Linked DNA regions of Xenopus tropicalis. The protein of the gene in region 2 binds, or shares a complex with, the protein of the main gene of each other region. Links are inferred from orthologs where the notes say so. Each region holds a gene or a part of one and is shown on either strand. Other genes may lie near its edges.

Region 1 (9,511 bases), on a different chromosome or scaffold from region 2:
CACACCAACTTTTTCACAGGCCTGAACAGGAAAGAATATAACATGGCAATACCTTTTTGTGAAATGTGGCCAGCATAGTCAAGGCTAACAGTAGTTGATGTGACGTAACAAGCAACTTAATATACAGATTTTAAATTAAGTAAAACTATAGCTAATATACATGTTACATCAGCAGATGGAAAACAGATTCTTTCACATTATTCAGGCTATTTGACCAACGGAATTTAGCCATCCCATTCGACAGCCAAATTGTACAGCATCTGTCAATTTGTTCTATGGGTTGATCAGATAATATTAAAGCTGGACCATACATACCCAATTTTCATGGAAGATGAGATTCAGTGTAGATTAATTAGTTATAACGGCTTTAAAAACAAATTACACACAACTTATACCCTGAATGGGACCTTAAATTAATTGAATTATTGTAGATAAAAGACATGCAAGCAATGAAAACTTGTTAAAAATAAAGCATGAAAAATATTGTATGTTTTAAAAGGGTTGTGCGCAAGGCTTAAAGGCACAGTAACACCAAAAAAAATTTACATTTTTTTAAAGTAGTTAAAATATAATTTACTGTTGCCCTGCGCTGGTAAAAGTTGTGTTTATATAATCAAAGTTGCTGTGTAGCCATGGGGGCAGCCATTCAAGCTGGAAAAACGAGAACAGGCACAGGTTACATAGCAGATAAGAGCTGCTCAGCTTATCTGTTATCTGCTTTTTTCGGTTACAAAATCAGTCGCGGCAAGCAATTGTGAAGATTTTCCTGCCACAGGGTAGAGTATATGTTGCTGCAACAAAACACGTGCCCACAACTTTTTAAAAAGTCGCCGCATGTGTCTTCACCCTGACAGAAGAACCCTTTTCTAGCCTTCTTCTAATTCAACTAGATAATTAAAAATAAAGTTCAGTATAAATTATTGGAAGTATTTTAGGATTTAAGTGGAATCTTCAAGAAGTGTAGTAAAATGTTACAGCCACAGATAAAAAAAAAAAACAAAACAAAAAAAAAAAAAAAACCTACTTGTAGCACAGTAGTGCCTGGTTCAACCATCACTGGTTTTCCATCAACAAACACCTCAACCAAATTGCTGGCAGCAGTTGCAGTTGTCCGTACTGAGAGAAAAAAAAAATATTTTTTTTTTTAGAAAAGTTTACAATAGGAAAACTAAAGTTTGGTGTGATAAGGCCTTATAAGTACAAGCAAGTGATAAATAACTAAGAAAGGGGCATACATCAAAAAAGCTGAAACTGTAAATGGTCACAGAACACAAAAATAGAAAACTTACCATTATTCTTAGAGTTTTGGGTGGCACTTGCCAGTACCCTGCGAACTACAGGCCTCAGCATTTTGCTACAAATCAAAAGAAAAGGTTAGCCTGGCACATTTTGAGGCTGTCTGAAGATTAGAAAATGCAATAATTCAACACATAATATTTGCGAAAAAGTATGCATTTTTAACTTATTAAATAGGAGAAGCCACCAAATGCATTATTTTTTCTTTCATAGAATAAAAGGTTAAATAACCAATTCAATCCTTAATAAATGCTTGTGGTAGTTCCTGAACCAGATTGCTTAACCTTTTTATTGTGAGAACATCTTATAAAAATAGCATTTGTATAACAAACAGATTGTCCTTGAATGTAAGTAAGGGCCAAAAGCTGTGCACGGAATAGTTTAGACCCCTGACAAATGTTACCACCCCAGCCTGTAAAAACGATGCCTGATACCATGGTTATTAATGGGGGGGGGGGGGGGGGGGGGGGGTAGAATATAGAATCCTCTGTGAATGCATTGCTAGTTAAAATGTTCTATTATTCTATTATTCAGACTCTTTGAGTTATGTTATAAAGGGTGCAATTAGTTTATTATAGGTCTAATCACCTATCTTAAAGGAGAAGTATACTCCCGGGCTCAAAAAGCACCCATAACTATCACTATCTAGACCCCCCTCACCTCTCCCTTATTGTATTGTTTTTAAGTTTAATGACTGTCCCTATCTCTTATAGCTAGCTAATAATCCAGAGGAGCGCAGCCCCCTACCTGTCCGACATTTTCTTACTGACTAAAGACACTTCTGGTCTCACCGCCGTCACCTAACCTGCTTGTGCACGTGCAGTTGAAGCGGATTTCCTACCTCCAACTGCGCATGCACAAGCAGGTTTATATCGGCAGAGCGACCAGAAGTGTCTTCAGTTGGAAATAAGATGTCGGCGATGTATGTGGCTGCGCTTCTCTGCATTTTTAGTTAGCGGTTAGAGATAGGGACAGACATTAAACAATAAGGAAGAAGTGAGGGGGGTCTAGGCAGTGATAGTTATGGGTGCTTTTTGTGCCTGGGGGTATAGTCCTCCTTTAAGCAATACGGAGGCATGTACAGGTCAAACATCTTATTGACTGCTACAGGTTACTGCTAGTAATGTGTGGGTTGACAGCCTCTCCAAAACTAGATTTTTATGGTGTACTTTTTATTTCTAAATGACACTGCGTAAATTGGTACATTGAAAAGGAATCTACGATTTAAAATGTTATTCTTAAACAATAAATAATATTTGGTGTATTTTTTTAAGTTTCAATATTGACGTGTAGGCAGTCATTTCAGAGCATTGTGCTAGATCCTGTGCTTTTAGAAAGTGCCAGCACTTCAGAATGCAACTGCTTTTAGATTAGCGATTTTTTTCTCCTACTCAGGACTTCAGTTTTAAACTATTAAGTGCTACGCTCATATCTACCAGGTGTCAGGGAGCTGTTATCTTGTTACCTTCCCATTATTTTGCTTTTATGCTGCTGTAAGGGATAGGTATGGGGTGACCACTCCAACTTGCACTGCCACTATAAAGAGTGACTGAAGTCTATCAGAGAACAAGTCACATGGTTGTGGGCACCTGGGAAACTAAGAAGATGTCTAGCCCACATCATATTTAAATTAAATATGAAAAAAAAATATATGTTTGCTCTTTTGAAAACTGGGTTTCAATACAGGATTTTGTTGTATGAGAGCTATATTTACAGATACACCTGTCACCCTGAAATTGTTTCCCCCACCAGTGGTGCAGGCTAATGGAGCCTGCACTCCAGTTGGGGGAAACAATAGTTTAAAAAAAAATAATAATAAATAGCCCCCACCAGCACTAGGCTGCCTGCACCAGTAGGAAGCTTTTGGTGTGGGTGGCTATGTTGGGGCACATGCAAAAGGATGAGCGAGAGCAACATCTCGCTCATTATGCACAGGTATGTGACATAAATTGCAATTCGCAATTAATGTCAGATGATAATGAGCATGTGAGGAGACTGGCTTTTTATGCACGCTATAGAACAGTGATCCCAACCAGTGGTTCATAAGAAACATGTTGCTCCCAGGGTCCTCAAAGTAAGAGCTTATTTTTGCATTTCTGGCTTGGAGGTAGGTTTTGGTTGCATAAAACCCAGTGTAAAGCCAAACAGAGCCTTCTATAGGCTGCCAATCCATATAGGGTGCAACCAAACAGCCAATTATAGCTCTTGTTTGCACCCCCAGGAACTTTTTCCATACTTGTGTTGCTCCCCAACACTTTTTCCATTTGAATGTGACTCATGGGTATAAAAGGTTGGGGATGCCTGCTATAGAACATGACAGCCTTCACCAAAAGCTCTCTCCCAGTGTGTGTGGGCTAGTGCGGCTGACACACACCAAAAAATTGTTTTTCCCAAACAGAATGCTGGCTCTATTAGCTTGCAACTGTCCTTGGGGAAACATTTTTCAGGGTGACAGGGTGCCCTTCAAGGTATGGTGTTCCAAATTCCAGACAGATCCCTTATCGGGAAAACCCCAGGTTCCAAGCATTCTGGATAACAGGTCCCATACCTGTATTATACTTTATCCCACCCCACAAAAAAAAAAAAAAAAAAATCTGCCATAGCCATTGAGCCACAAGCCAGGTCATAAAAACTAATTTTAATCAATATTACAATATTCCCTATTTGCTGAGTAACGACTTAACCAGCGCAACCAATTGCATGTGTAATTTTCGCGCAATGTGCAATAACTAAGAGGTTAGAGGATGTGCAAGGAGAGAAGCGCATTACTGAATCCCAGCAGAGCTCTGAGTAAAGACGCGCACCCATGCACAGACTATGGAACGCTGTAGCCCGCGGGTTTGCTAGTATAGGAAGGGATGGAGTCTGGAAATCTTTAGCGAATAATAGAAGAGTCCAAGTCCTACCGAACTAAACTACATCTGTCAAGGGCACAAGAGTGACCTACTACCTTGCTAGACACACAGCCAACACCATTACACCGTAACGCAGGGTTACCGCATCGGTTATGCAAAACATTACAAAGAATTGCCATTTCCAAACCACTCACCCCACCGACTCCCCTAAACAGCTCTGGGAATATTTGGCCTTCTAGACCAGAACAGCCCTGGCCGGCACCCTTGACCAATATGGCGGATTTAAGCAACCTCCGGAACAAGCCACGGAAGATGGTAAGAATTATACGTAACTGAGAAAGCTTCGGTAACTTCCGCACAGGCAAAGACTAGAGATCGACAAAGTCCGGCAAAAATGACGAACGAGACTCGGAGAAACTTCGTTTCCGAAATGTTGCGAACGCAACATCGTTAGTCTTCGGCACAGGCAGTTTCCGGATCGACTTAACATCGGCTATCTCCGTGATAAGCGGCAACACATGCAATCCCAAATATTTCTGCAGTCGGAAAACGAAGATATGGTCTCCAGTAAGTAATACTTTGCCGAAAGGGTGCGGATAAAAAAAAATATAAACTTGAAATGATGTACATGTTACATAGTGAGTCTTTAAGGAAGGCTTAGCCCGCCCCTCGTAGCCCCGCCCCCTGTCTATAAAAGGCATCTACCCGGCCTGCAAGTTCTTTTCTTTACCCGTGTGTGCTAGGCTTCTTGAGTGAATTGCTGTAATGGGTTTCGGCGATCTCAAATCCCCTGCAGGCCTTAAGGTCCTGAATGAGTTCCTGGCCGACAAGAGCTACATCGAGGGGTCAGTGTGGTAAATGCTATATTATAGTTGTGCTAATGTTCGAAAGGACAAGGAATGTGTAATATGAATGAACGTGTTGGCTTCCAACGCGTGGTCCTAGGCCGCAACCTCCTGCTGCCTGACTCCTGAATTCTTTTAGCTGCAGTGCCGTAAACGTGTCACAAAATCCCAAGTGATGTAATATGTAAAGGCTGCCTGGTTAATTGTGCCTTGTGCTTTAGTTATGTATTCTTTCTAATGTTAATAATTAAGTGTTTCTTGGAATCATTTGTAAATGTAATTTGTATTAAAAGCAGAATAGGTCTGGATTTCTACACTTTCGGCACTGCTGGCTACGACTGCTGAGCCGATGTAGCAGAAGCCAGCTGCTTAAACTGCACTATGTCAGAGAACGGAAAATTATATAAACTGTTCAGTGTAACTAAATGTGCAAATAGCCTTAAAACTTGGATAATGTTTATAGGAAACAAATGTTTGGACACTATTTATACAGTTTTTTCTACTGTACTATATTATGTTTAGTGGTTATGCTGCTAATTGTATATTTACCCCCACCCTTTTCAGATATGTCCCTTCCCAGGCTGATGTTGCAGTATTTGATGCCCTCTCTGGTGCGCCCCCTGCTGACCTTTTCCATGCTCTGCGTTGGTACAACCACATCAAGTCTTATGAAAAGCAGAAAAGTAGGTAAGCAGTATGATAAAGTATAGCTATTGCTTTCACAGCAGTGATTGATAAAGGAGCATGGTTGAAAAAATATGATACTGTGCTGAATACAATATTCTTTGTTTTAGGTTGAGCTGTTCTACAGCACTTTGAAGCACGTTCACTACTATACTTATCTAATCTGAATCAGATTTTTTTTTTTTTTAATTCGGTTTATTGGTTAACATCCAGCTGAAAAATCACTGCCTATGGCTGTAGTGCTCATGCAGCCAGAAAGTGGCTGCAACATACATAAGCTTTGATAGTACTGTTGGCCTGCTGTAGAATGTAAATGGGCACAATTCTAATTAACATGGATCATGAATGTGTATCATTTTTGTGGTCTATGAAGTATTTTAAAGGAGTTGTTCACCCTTATGTTAAATTTTAGTATACTGTACAATTTTGAGACAACTTTTTTTTTTTTTTTATTTTGGTGTTTGAATGATTGTTTTTTTGTTAAACCGCTGTCCAGTTTCACATATCTGGTTGCTAGGGTCCAATTTAACCTAGGCAACTAGCCAGTAGTTTGAAAGATGGAAAATTCAATATAGGAGGCCCTAAATAGAAAGATAAGTACAAAAAAAAACAGCTTCACAGAGCAACAGATTTTTGGATTCTGAGGTCAGTGACCACCCCCCCTCATTTGAAATCTGGAAAGAGTCTGAAGAAAAAAGGCAAAAAAACTATACACCATAAAAATGAAAACCAACTGAAAAGTTGCTAAGAATAGGCTGTTCTATAACATACTAAATGTTAACCTGAAGTGTTCTCTTTGACAGTAGGACAGAATTGCATTCTCTTGGCTTAATTGATGCTAGCTGAGCACACAGAATGCCCAGTCAGACATGCAGAGGAGCCTCGTCAAATAGTAGCGTGGCTACCCATATTTGGGCCAGCTTGCAGTCATTTGCAGTTAAGATGTCAGTATTGTAATTTGTTCTCTATTGTAATTTGTTCTCTAAAGTTGTATGTAATTCTAGATAACTGTATATTCCTTGTGACTCACCTCTAAGCAGCTGCTAATGCAAATAGCCTAGAAGTATATTTCTCCTTTGTAAAGTAGTTTTTTTTTTTTTTTTTTTTTTTTTTTTTTCCTAGCCTGCCTGGTGTGAAGAAGCCTCTGGGAAACTATGGCCCTGTTAACATAGAAGATACTACAGGCAGTACAGCAAAAGATACCAAGGAAGAGGATGATGATGATGACATTGACTTGTTTGGTTCAGATGATGAAGAGGTGGGATGTGTAACAATCTTTAGATGTAATAAAATTAGACCTAAGAAGCATAAGGTGCAGAATAAATTACACTGGCTGTACAGCTGTGTCCATAATTTTTTTTTTTTTTTTTTTAACATGCTGTTCTACAGACTGAAATGTAAAGAGAGTTTGCTGTGTTTCATGTAGTCTCCTTGTGGACAATGAACGTAGCAAAAATGCGTGCATGCTTTAATTGTGCTCCACTGTAACCACAAATTCATTATATTACATGCCCAAGGCACACTACTATGGCCACATACCTGAAGCAGTGTTTGCTGTTGGTTACTAAGGTTCTAAACATGTGAAGGGAGTTGTGTAAAACACAAATTTGGCTGTACTATATTCAGGCTGGTCATGTGATGAATGAGCTAAATCACCATCTTTCGGCTGATTTGTGATGCATATTGTCTTCTAAACTGACTACACCAGCCTGTTAACTTAAAAAAACAAAAAAAAAACTTGCTATTGTGCAGAATCTTAAGTTTTTCTATTTCATAGGAAAATGAAGAATCAAAGAGGGTCCGCGAAGAACGCTTAGCACAGTATGAAGCAAAGAAGTCTAAAAGTAAGTGGCCTTCTCCCGAGTGTTTATTCTCCTTAAGGCATATGTTTTTAATTGTTTTGCCTTAAGAAAAGCAAAGTGCAATCACTACCTGTTTACATACTGGTCTTCAGTTCCTTTTTTTTTTTTTTTTTTTGTGGAATGGAAATACTTGCCACAGATACTGGTCTGGAGCTGTATTACTATGTGGCAGTTCCAGCATTCCTCCTGTGGCACATTAAAATGTTTTGCAGCTTTATTTCCTCTCAGTCTGGGAGGACTTGGCTGTATTTCAAACATGGTTCTGTTTTATTCTGTACCACTGTCTACAAACTATATGGTGTAAACCTTAGTGTAAAAAATGCCATATAGTATTGTTATAGTATGTTCAGCAAGGCAGTGGCTATGGTTTGTGACTTAGAAAGGTGTAACACTTGACTTTCCCACTAGAATTTTACTTGTGCTTTTATTTTGTGGGATTTTGGGGTAGTCTGAATGTGTGGCTTAAGGCTGTTAGAATGTGTATTCAGTTTATATATTACTAGTCCTTTACTTGCGGACATAATCTAATTTACACTTCTTCACAATCTTCAAATTCTCCAAAGGTGATTAAATCTTAACCAATTTGTTTCTTTAGAACCAGCACTTATTGCCAAATCATCCATTCTTCTTGATGTGAAGCCATGGGATGATGAAACGGATATGGCCAAGCTAGAAGAGTGTGTCAGAAGTATACAGATGGAAGGCTTGGTGTGGGGAGCATGTAAGTTTATATTTTGTAGGTAGTCTAAAGAATATCTTCACCTTAACTGTAATGATGATTAAAATATCACCATCTTTCGACTGATGCTAATGATGGATGTATTTTTATTCTGACTGCCTTTTATTTAAACACTGTAAAGGTATGTGTTTACTGAATGTACAAGTCTTTACATTCTGACAATATGTAGCAAGTAGACTTGATTTAAAATGCACATTTAATGGCTTTATCAACCGTCATCTGTTATCTCAATTGTTCTATTCCTTCTGCAGCAAAGCTTGTTCCTGTTGGATATGGCATTAAAAAGCTGCAGATCCAGTGTGTGGTTGAAGATGACAAAGTTGGCACAGATGTTTTAGAGGAGAACATCACTGCATTTGAAGACTTTGTGCAATCCATGGATGTTGCTGCTTTCAACAAGATCTAAACTGATTTCATGAAGCCCCCATACTTTTACAGCACTTCAAATAAAAACATTTGCTTAATGTGAAGTTGGTGTTCACTTTGTATTGTGGCTGCTTTCCTTGCAACAAAGTTGCACGCATTCAATCTATCTTGCCTCTGTAGGATTAAAGTATGCCAAATAGGCATCAATGTGTTTCAATCCACTGTGGATGGTTGTCTGGATGTAGAAGATGATCTCTAATGGGTCATAACTTGGTGTCCATTGTTGCTCTGAAGTCCACAAAAGCACTCTTGGCTAATTGTAACAAGTTTTTGACTTGTGGTATGCATGTGGAAACTTAGTTTTTATTTAAGGGCATGTCAACCCCAAACATTTTTACCAAAAAAAAAAACCTTGTTCTAAGCAACTTTCCAATATGCATTTATTAAATTAGTGCTTTTAATAGTTAATCTGTAAATCAAATTGCTATAGAAAGCAGCATTTGCTGAACTCCTGGTTGTTACTACTTAAACAATGTTGCCAGACCCCTCAAACAAGGCAGGTCTGTAAAATCTGCTTGTGTTACACTGTTTCAGGTGCCAGAGCCACCAGGGCAGAGAATAGGACAGGCAGACACTGCTGGATCTTGTAGCCTTCTAACCCAGGTTACAGCCAGACAGGAGGGGGTTGGGAGCCACCAGTTGGACAGCACTGTCTTAGCCAATAAAGGTATCACCTTTTATACCACTTTTGTTATTGTTTATTTCAAAAGGGTTGCCCTGTAACATTTACATCCCTATGTTGTCTCAGTGATTATATTACATTTTTGGCACATTTTTAGCCATTTTATTCAATTTTCAATTCTG
Region 2 (9,511 bases):
AAATGCACAAGCCTTGAAATATTTATGACTGAGTTCTATTTAAGGACTACTACTAGCAAGTATAGTACTGCTTACAGACCAGGGGCACTAGCGTCTTTATAACATTTTTACATCAAAGTGTTTGTTTAATCCCCTGAAAACTACCAGCCTTTGCCTAACTACATGCCATTACTTGTATCAGTGCTTTTCAAGGCAGCACCGTGTATGCATACATTTACCTCTTACCTGTAATTAAGTTGCAGCTCATGAAGGTTTGTGTCAGCTCCTCGGGGAATTTGTATTCAGCGTACCAGATGGACCAGCCTTCCTTGTCAAAGTGCTCCCAGAAATAAGGCAGAGCTACAGCCAGGGTATCTTCATTAGAGTATTTTCTCTTAAACTCATCCATTACAAAAGAGCTGCATGGGAAAATGAAGACTTGTAAGACGATAAAGGTCTATGACAGTGAAAGATTATAACTGGTCACTTAAGATTGGGATGTAGTGTTGTAGAGTCTGATGACAACAATTACATCAATTGCTCAATGATCTTACCTTTTAGGTAGATGTGCGTATGGGTCCTTTGATTTAGGCTCTGCTGCTAAAGCCTTTTCAGATTCATCCATATCATCCTCAGGGGCTGGGGCAGGAGCAGGAGCTGGTGTTGCCTTCTTCTTTTCCTCCTTTTCTTTTTTTGGCTCCTTTGCTGGCTTCTCTTTCTTGGGAGTTTCTTTCTTGGGCTGCATCTCGGCAAACTTCTTAGCTACAGAAAATTAAAAATAACACTCTCAGCCTGGCAGAAACACCACCATACAATGTGAAATAGTTTGAATTGCCATTTTGCTAAAAATTATTTTACATAGCAAATACAATAAGTTAACCTAACATCCCTATCAAAAGTAGACCACCACCTGTAAAAATGGCTTGTATATATTTAGCCCCGTTACAGACTGCGCTACATTTTGTTTATAAAAATGACATTCTGAAGATGATGCTTTATACAGAATACTGTTCATTCCAATCCTGGAAGTATTCATAAATACAAAGACCCTGGCCCTATATACAGCCCAGACAATTTGTTTATAGTTGAGCTCTAAATCAAATTAATCGGTTTTGCTGACCATAAGAGCTACTCAGTACAAGAATGATTTAGCGCAAAACAGACCAAACCTGCCTTGCAGGACCAGTAACACCAAAAAAATTATTTCTTAAAGTAATTCAAAAACACTGTTCTGCACAGGTAAAAGTTGTGTGTTTGTTTATATAAACTATACCAGTGTTTCAGAAACAAAGCTGCTGTGTAGGCACAGGGTAATAGGGTAATGGGATAGAAAAGAGAATTTTATAGGATGTTCAGGCTCACCATCAAACTGTGCCATCTTGTCACAAAGCTTGACTTCTCCCAACACAGCACGGAATTCTGGCTGATTCACACAGGTCACAAACCACCTTGTAACATTACCAAATGGCTGGCGGAAGGATGGTTCCAGGACCTATGGATAAATAGAAATTAATATATGGACACTAAAAAGAAGTGCTACAAAGGCTGACAGAAATGAGTGTGAAAATATGGGGATGTAGATACATGAAATGGGGTAAATGGCGAGGATTATTATACAGAAAGTTAGAATAGAAAAAAAATTAAAAAAAAAAAAACTTCAGTGTTTATGTATTCTGAGTGTGGGAAATCCAATAAATGATGAAGAACTGGTATACCAGAACAGGTATAATGGATCTTTATTATAAACAGTAATATAGTGAAGTATATGGCTAAAGGAGGCTACAAATTCACAACAGGAATACAGTTAGGAGGAATAAAAGACAAAGGAGAAACAGATAAAAATTAAAGTGTCAGACCTGCTTATAGAGCCACAGAAGAGAGCAAGTAACTGCTATATCAGCCAGCGTGACCCTCTCGCCCACTAGGAATGTCCGTGTCTTCAGATGAGAATCTAAAACACCCAGCACAGCCTTTATCTCCTCCTTGGCTTGTTCTGTGGCCTAGAAATATACAGAAAGAGCCATAATCCCAAATGGCCAGTTTTAAAAGGACAGAAATTGAGGTAAAATGGTCTATTATTTTCTTCAATCTTCAATTATTTTTGCTTCTGAGGCTTACTACCTTCTAACAAAAAAAACCCTATCCAAGAGGGTTGTTGAGATAACAAACAGTCGTGTACTAAAAAGTAGCCAGGAAGACTAGAATCCGCCATTATGCCAACCAGGGGGAATTAGTTAGGGTTGTGACACAGAGAGATTAGTCGCTGCACAGAAAACCTCCCCAAAATGCCATCCCACCGGCTAGAATGTAAATCGCCGGTGGGATGGCATAAGCATCAAGCGTGATTCGCAGAAGTCGCCTTGAGAGGAAACTCTGGCAACTTCCGCAAATCACACCGCCGCATATGCCATCCCACCGACGATTTACATTCTAGCCGGTGGGATGGCATTTTGGGGAGTTTTGTCACCCGTGACTTATCTACCCGTGTGTCACAGCCCTTAAGCAAGCTGCTATTTTCCAGCTAACTGCACAGATCACTTCACACCATTCAATAAACCGAAAGATACATATAACCATAACATTCACTAAATAAGGGTGGGGCAGAGATATACACACACTTTTTAAGGTAATCTTTCAATTTAAAACAGTTAAATCTTGTTAAACCCATATCGATCTTGGATCAGGCAGTTCATCCATCTCTGACAACTGCCTCGTGTTTACTTCATCTAAAGCTATGGCTGCGGCAAAAAGTAGGGTGACCCAATCACTTGAAAATTCAAGGACACATCTAGTACATGTCGCAGGAATTGTATTTCAAATCAGTTCAGCCCTGCTAGCTGGATTTATTTTTTCTCTTCATTACACGTCCCTGAATTTTCAAGCAATCTGGTCACCCTAAAGGGTCCTACTGACCCCAAACATTATGGGTGCTTGAAGTATTTGTAAAGCAAAGTATTTCATAATTCATCTCGACGCAGCACAAAGTAGAAAAGGAAAGGCCATTGTTAGATGAATAAATAATTTAGCAGATAAGCACGCAGCAGTGTGTAGTTAACCAAAGAAAATAAAGCAGAATAATGAACCCTTCTTACCTGCTTATTGTATTGCATGATCCCCAGAGTGGGAAAGACCCATGCGCTGGCCGGAGGGACAATGTGACTGTCTGAGAAGCTGACCCACTGGATGACCTGAGCTTGGTGTAAACGATTGGTTCCTCGGAGCTCATCATTGCCCACTGTCAGAGAAATATGTGAGAGGTGAGAATTAGGTTTCCTATTAACACCAAGTCAGAGAAAGTATGAGACATATGTGACAAGTCTAAAGGTGGCCACACACGTGGCGATTTTTGATCTTTTGTGCGATCGTTCCAATCCGCCACTAACATTCAGGGGTGAAATGGCAGATGTGGAGGAAGAAACAATAGGATTTCAACGAGGTTTCATACGATATTATCGGTGCATGTATGGCCAGCTTTAGGGTGAGAACACACAGAGCTACTAGTAGCAGCTACTTGCCGTGACTACTAAAAAAGAGAATGCTGATCATTTACAGATAATTGCCTCTACATGTGTTTTAGCAGAGGCAATTCTCAGTATTGTCTATGGCAGGGTATTTTCTGGAGTTTAGTAGTCATAAAAAAAAAGTAGCTGCTACTAGTAGCCCAGTGTGTCTTCACCCTAAGAGTGGACTTTCATTATACCCAGTCTGCAGGAGCCCGAGACACACAGAAAGAGGGACAAAAAGAAATGGATAACCTTGATGTAGAATGATAAAGATTCACAGCTCATCTCAGAGCTCACATGCTCTCCAATTTAAATCTGAGACTCCAAGTCAGCATTTGTCTTGTAGTGCAATTCTATGCATTCCGCCACAAGGAATGCCTATAAAAATATGAAGAGATTAAGGTATAATTTGCCAGGTTGCTATTTTATGATTTCAGCTTTGCAGCTGCTGTTTGAATGGCCAGCTATCCATAAGTTTTTTTTTTTTTTAATAACCTTTCACAGGAATACTGCTTATGTTTATAATTCCACCTTAGTGTAGGGAGTGCAAGCAGCAGAACTATAAGTGGCCATCTCCAAAGATAGAACACTTCCCAAGGTTCTCAACCTATAATGGGACATGCCAGCAGGGTTGATCGATATTGGCGAGTACAGAAAATCTGTATTTGTCCGAAATATGTGGAAACATCTTTACTGAAATGTTTTTATGTAAAATCACTATTTCTGGGCAGTTTCCCACCAGGAGGCCAGCAGGCAGGATATGTGACTGAACCTGGGCCTGGGCTGGGGATTCCATGGATTGATCTAAATAAATAGATTTTTAAGAAGAGAAAATGGCCAGAACGAGAGCAGAAATGGTAGGTGCACAATTTTTGGGTTATTTTAGGACCATCCAAACAGTGACATAACTAAGCAGCACCTGGGCCCAGTTGCAATTTTAAATGCATGCACTCCCTCCTCCTCTGTACCCCTTTCCCCATTCATTTATTTGCAGAGAGCAGAAGAGCAAACATTGGAAATAAGGAGGGAGAACCATACAGCAGACCAAGCCTGGACTGGCAATCTGTATATTCTGTAAAATGCGAAAGGGGCTGCTGTAAGATGCCACTGGGCTGGGGGTTTGGCCTCTGTGTACTTGAAATGTTGAGGCCTATTTTGAATCCCAGTCTGGCCCAGCAGCAGACCTTGAGACCATTATACCTCCCCTGTGGCTGTGGGGTCTGCTGTATACTAGTTACAGCAACAACCTCCAAATTAGCTTCTTAGGGTAAGAACCCACATAGCGAGTTACTCACCCACAACAGACCGCTGCTATCATGGGCGAGTAAACGCTCTGAAAAGGCTTTTCTCCTGCAGGCAACTTCACGCAACTTTGGAAACCGAAGGCCTTTTCACCCATGACTTCTACTGTTGCCGATGGAAAGCCTTTTCGGAGCAGTTACTATCACAGGTGGGTTCTTTCCCTAAGGGCCAGAGAGTAATTGCTAGGTCTGATTCTATAAAGGCTAACCTGCTGAAGATAAAATGATAACAAGAGATAAAATGATTGTCTCACCATAATGAGCAATGGCGCTGCTCTCAAAAAGGCAAAAACCGTCGTTGCCCTCAAATGCTGGTACCTAAAAGTCCAGAAAGAGTTTGATTAAGGACAATAATATTACCTTAAAAAGTTCATTACATCCAGGGCTACAGTATGAATATATACATACTGTACACACATTGCAGATTATCTGGAGGGGTTGAAGTTGAGGGACTATGGAAGCAAATGCATTACCTTGCCTAAGGGGAATTTCTTTAGGAACTCGGATGTCTTATTCGTTACTCCAAACTGGAATTCTGGAGGAGAGGAGGCAACCTTGATGGGGAACCCCGAATACTGAGCAGCAATGAGGGGCTTGTATGCCCTCCAGTTATCAGGGTATGTGTACAGAGTCTGCAGAGAGAATACACACAGTTATACATTATACACACTGAGGCAAGCAAATATTGTACAAAATGATTATCCCCAATCATATGGGACTTTGCACCACCAGGCACCATATACAATTCCATGTACCATATTTAGGGTTGCTGAAGGAAACATTTTCCTTTATATATCTAACACATTCTAATGTACACCCAAGGCCCTGGAAAGCAGCACATATCTTACTACATGCCATATCACTATTCTTATGTGAAGTCTCCTACTGGGTAAAGCTAAGCCTTGGCAGACAACAGAATGTAAGCCTAAAATCTTTAACTCAAGCAGCTACTTCTTGTCTTTATACTCTTATGGCAGCAGCAAATAAAACCAGGGTTGCCACCTCACCACTTTACGCCACACTACTAACATGTATTAGCTACAACACTGCATGGCAGCTCAAAAGCCTTCCCATGCGTTGGAAGTTCTCTATAGAGAATACTGTGCATCTGTCACATGTCACTGTATAGAGCCGCTGTCACACAGCAGCCGGTATTACAGCCGTACAAATGGCGCACAGAGCGGGAGAGAAACGCGTGTGGAAGGAGCAGGCAGGGACACGTGACTAGGGGCAGTTACCGGGGCAGCGCCGTATTGCCCTCTCTTTGTACCGCTCCCCTTAGTTCCGGGTAAAGCCGGGCACTATTCCCACTAACTTTACCCCATACTACCAGCACCAAACCGGGAGATGAAAGGTGACCCGGATAGCAGAGCGCACCCCATATCCCAGTGACCCACACTACGGCCCGGATATATCATAAGCTGTCGGATGTGGATGGATTTTCTGGGACCTATTCATTACTTACCCCGCCGGCCATCTTCACGCGAGTAGAAAGGGAGGAGCCGCAGTTCCAGCTCTCCGACGTAATATAGGTGCCGAAAACAGACTACGGGCTGTCGTAAAATAGAGGAGTGTAAGCGACGGGAGCGTAACGTGACGCTTTCGGGACGTACAGGCAGGTGATATGTGGCAGTATGGGAGATACAAAGGGTTTCTGTCAGAAAACCCTACCCCAAAAAAAGGATTCTATGGAGTTAAGCTGTGATAGTGAGTTTAATAAGCTGAGAGTGAGAGGGATTCACTTCCCTGGCAGAACCTTCCAGAACAGCATAGAGGGATTTCCTTGCAATGTAGGAGCCAGCTGCTAAGGGATAATACATTTAGTCAGGACCATAGATAGAACTAACATATGTGGCTGCCTGAAATATGTATTATAGGTGTTATTGAAAAGTCTGTTAAAATGACCTGTCAAAGGTCATTTGGGGTAGAAAAGTAAGGTTTATTAGACACTTAATTGGGTTCTGAGCAAAACATAGAACAAAACCAGTGTTGCCAGATTTATTTTTCCAAACCAGCCCAAAACTAGCCAAAAGCCACTTCGAAAGTAGCCCAAAAATAGCCCAATATACAAAATGAAAACAAATTCTAAAAAATAAAAGTATATATGGGAAAATGCTTTTTTTGTAGTGTATAATTACTACCCATGCCCTGTGCCCTCTCTCCAGTTACTGGGATGGCTGATGTTTCCCAGCCCCCTGTGCCCAGTCCATGCAGGTTATAGTAGTTTTGCTGGTTCAGGTTCAGCAAAGAGGAATAGAAAAGGGAGCTTCTGTCTATAATTGCATGCTGGGTATTGTAGTTTTATATTAATCTTAGCTGTAGGCTAATTGTAAGAATTGTACTTTCTTTTAAAGTAACTTAAGTTTTTGCAAAAGTTACATAAATTGCATAAGTGTAGTGGCCCAATGATGTTGCTGTGGGGCCCAATAACCAGTCATTCCTCTGCTGTAAAGTTCATGCAGGAGTGCACAAATCCATCTGTTAATAGTTTTCAATATAAACAGCCGACATTACTCTTTAATAAATAGTTAAAATGAGTAATTAATGTGCTAATGTAATATGAGTAGTAATGTAATAATGAGTCAATTCACTGGGGACAGTAACATTTACCTTGACTTTTTTGATCTATTGGGGGGGTCATATTGGGATATGCAAGTTAGGTTAGGGTATTTCCATACAGCTGATTCTTGAATCTAAAAATCTTTCAGTTGTGCCTGCACCCGGAAGCACTGAATCCGCCTGGGTGCAGGCACACGCATGATATTTCTGCCTGAAACTGCTTGGAGCAGAGGGGCCGATTCTTGGAAAGCAGAAAAACAGTTTCTGAGAATCAGACCATCCACTTAAAAATCAGCCCCGTGTGGCATTACCCTGTTTCTAGCCAGTTTTTGTGGAAGACATGTAAATTATGTAAGTTCTAAAGCAACTTTTGTGATGAGGCCAGCCCCCCCTTCTGGAGATTTTACTGGGCCCGGTACAACAGTACCCCCTCTCCCTCCTTATAGAATTAACCCTATTTTCTTAATAGGAGAGGAAGAAATTAGACTGCAAGCACACCAGGGTCAAGGAATCATAAATGATTTAGTGCCATTTACACTGTATAAAATACAAAATACCACATTACTGTACACAATACTAACCTCTAAAATATTTATTTTAAAATAGCAATGCCATTAGCAGTAAATGGTGCAGTCGGGGGCCCTCTGATTTGATGGAGCCTGAGACACTAGTACTGTTTGTTATCCCTGATGGCAGCCCTGCTTATACCGCATAATGTACCCCTAATTGATATGGTCATTGAATGCCTTAGTGACCGCTTACATCTTATAACATCTAATGCTGAGCATACAGAGGCAAATCAGCATATATGATAAAGTGACCAAATCAAGCTTGTCTTAATGGTCCCTAGGCCAATAGGTTGTTCTCATGGGGGGGTATGCAGACTTCCAGTAAGGAAGCATTATGCAGTAAATTAGTTGGAAATCAGCAAGCTGCAGAGTCACTGTAGGGATCAGTTGTGCTCTGTAGTGATGAGTAATCACTTTTAAGGGCTCAGCCCAGAATGCAGAAGAGAGGCAACATGCAGCATTTCATCTGCAATCGGAGTGCCAGTGCAGTCTAGCTGGGTCTGTTACTTCCTTCCTTCCGTGTACAGTGAAACACAAGAATAAAGCCATCCCTCTGAAGCAAAGAACAAATGCCATTTGAAATAAAAACCCTGCAGCCAGCAGGTAATGGGGCAGATAATGGCGATGAAGCTCTCAAAGACTGCCACCCTTCCCTTTGATGGCAAATTGGCTCAGCTATGGCACCATACAGAAAATATATGGCACCCAGTGTGCAATGAAAACTTAACCTTTCTTCCCAGATATTAAAAGCATGATACTGGATCAAATGCTGCTCTTAGTCAAGGTGAAATGGGAGCAATTAACTGGGTGTGGCGGTTATGTGTATGTATCATGGTAGGTATTATAATTGCAGTAATTATCGTCTGGGAAAGAGACATTATGGGTGGCAAGCATTATAGCTTTTTCAGGTTTGGCACATGGTCTTATGGAGCCCCCTTAACACATTTATGCAATTTCATTTCTCACCAAAAAATATTCATCATTCAAAAACATAGAATTAAAAAATAATAAAGTATATGTTTTAAAGAAGATAAGGTTTAAAATCAAGGCACAGGGTCCATCAGGTTCAACATTGTTGTCTTATTGTTGATCCAGTTCTATAGATGGTGCTTCTCTTCTTTTTCTCTGGCCACTGTCCATGGTTCAGGTTAAATGTTACTGTGTTATAGAATGTCCTATTCCTAGCAATGTTGCAATTGGTTTTCATTATTTTTTTTTTTTAATTATTTGCCTCCCACTTTTACATCTTTCCAGCTGTCAAATAGGGATCTCTGACCCCTAGTAGTCAAACTATTGCTCTGTGATCTTGCAATTTTATTATTATTGTTACCTTTTATTACTTAGCTATCTGTTTAGTCCCTGTTCTAGTCATATTCCAGTCTCTCATTTAAAGCACTGCTAAGGTAAACAAGACCCTAGAAACTAGATAGCTGATGAAATTTCAATCTGGAGAGCTCATGAACAAAAATCTAAATAAATGAAAAGCCACTAAAAAATAAATAATAAAAAACAATGAAGACCAGTTACTAACTGTCTCAGAATGTCAGCGTCTCTAGATCATGTATGTATGTATATATATATATATATATATATATATATA

Evidence for each region.
Region 1: the proteins of eef1g (region 2) and eef1b2 are in contact, whole or in part, in a crystal structure (PDB 5DQS), measured with the Homo sapiens proteins. The link is inferred for Xenopus tropicalis from reciprocal best matches to the Homo sapiens genes EEF1G and EEF1B2. Residues at the interface, in NP_001395.1 of Homo sapiens: Leu146, Lys147, Thr148, Arg149, Thr150, Phe151, Glu155, Arg156, Pro185, Asn186, Arg189, Leu192, Thr193, Asn196, Gln197, Pro198; in NP_001032752.1 of Homo sapiens: Ala20, Asp21, Lys22, Ser23, Tyr24, Tyr28, Val29, Cys50, His51, Arg54, Asn57, His58, Ser61, Tyr62, Glu65.

Annotation. Positions count from the first base shown.
Region 1 is NC_030685.2:50,700,578-50,710,088, forward strand, and holds eef1b2 (elongation factor 1-beta), read left to right. Parts: upstream 1-4,870; 5' UTR 4,871-4,916; coding exon 4,917-4,996; intron 4,997-5,560; coding exon 5,561-5,683; intron 5,684-6,802; coding exon 6,803-6,938; intron 6,939-7,457; coding exon 7,458-7,524; intron 7,525-8,137; coding exon 8,138-8,263; intron 8,264-8,532; coding exon 8,533-8,687; 3' UTR 8,688-8,751; downstream 8,752-9,511. Other genes in the region: ndufs1 (NADH-ubiquinone oxidoreductase 75 kDa subunit, mitochondrial), read right to left, coding at 1-21, 1,025-1,116, 1,290-1,350. UniProt on the Homo sapiens protein: Catalytic subunit of the guanine nucleotide exchange factor (GEF) (eEF1B subcomplex) of the eukaryotic elongation factor 1 complex (eEF1).
Region 2 is NC_030680.2:36,802,830-36,812,340, forward strand, and holds the start of eef1g (elongation factor 1-gamma), read right to left. Parts: upstream 6,267-9,511; 5' UTR 6,261-6,266; coding exon of another isoform or gene 6,249-6,260; intron 5,416-6,248; coding exon of another isoform or gene 5,257-5,415; intron 5,102-5,256; coding exon of another isoform or gene 5,038-5,101; intron 3,861-5,037; 5' UTR 3,735-3,860; intron 3,215-3,734; coding exon of another isoform or gene 3,090-3,214; coding exon 3,072-3,089; intron 1,980-3,071; coding exon 1,836-1,979; intron 1,472-1,835; coding exon 1,342-1,471; intron 742-1,341; coding exon 534-741; intron 399-533; coding exon 226-398; intron 1-225. UniProt on the Homo sapiens protein: Probably plays a role in anchoring the complex to other cellular components.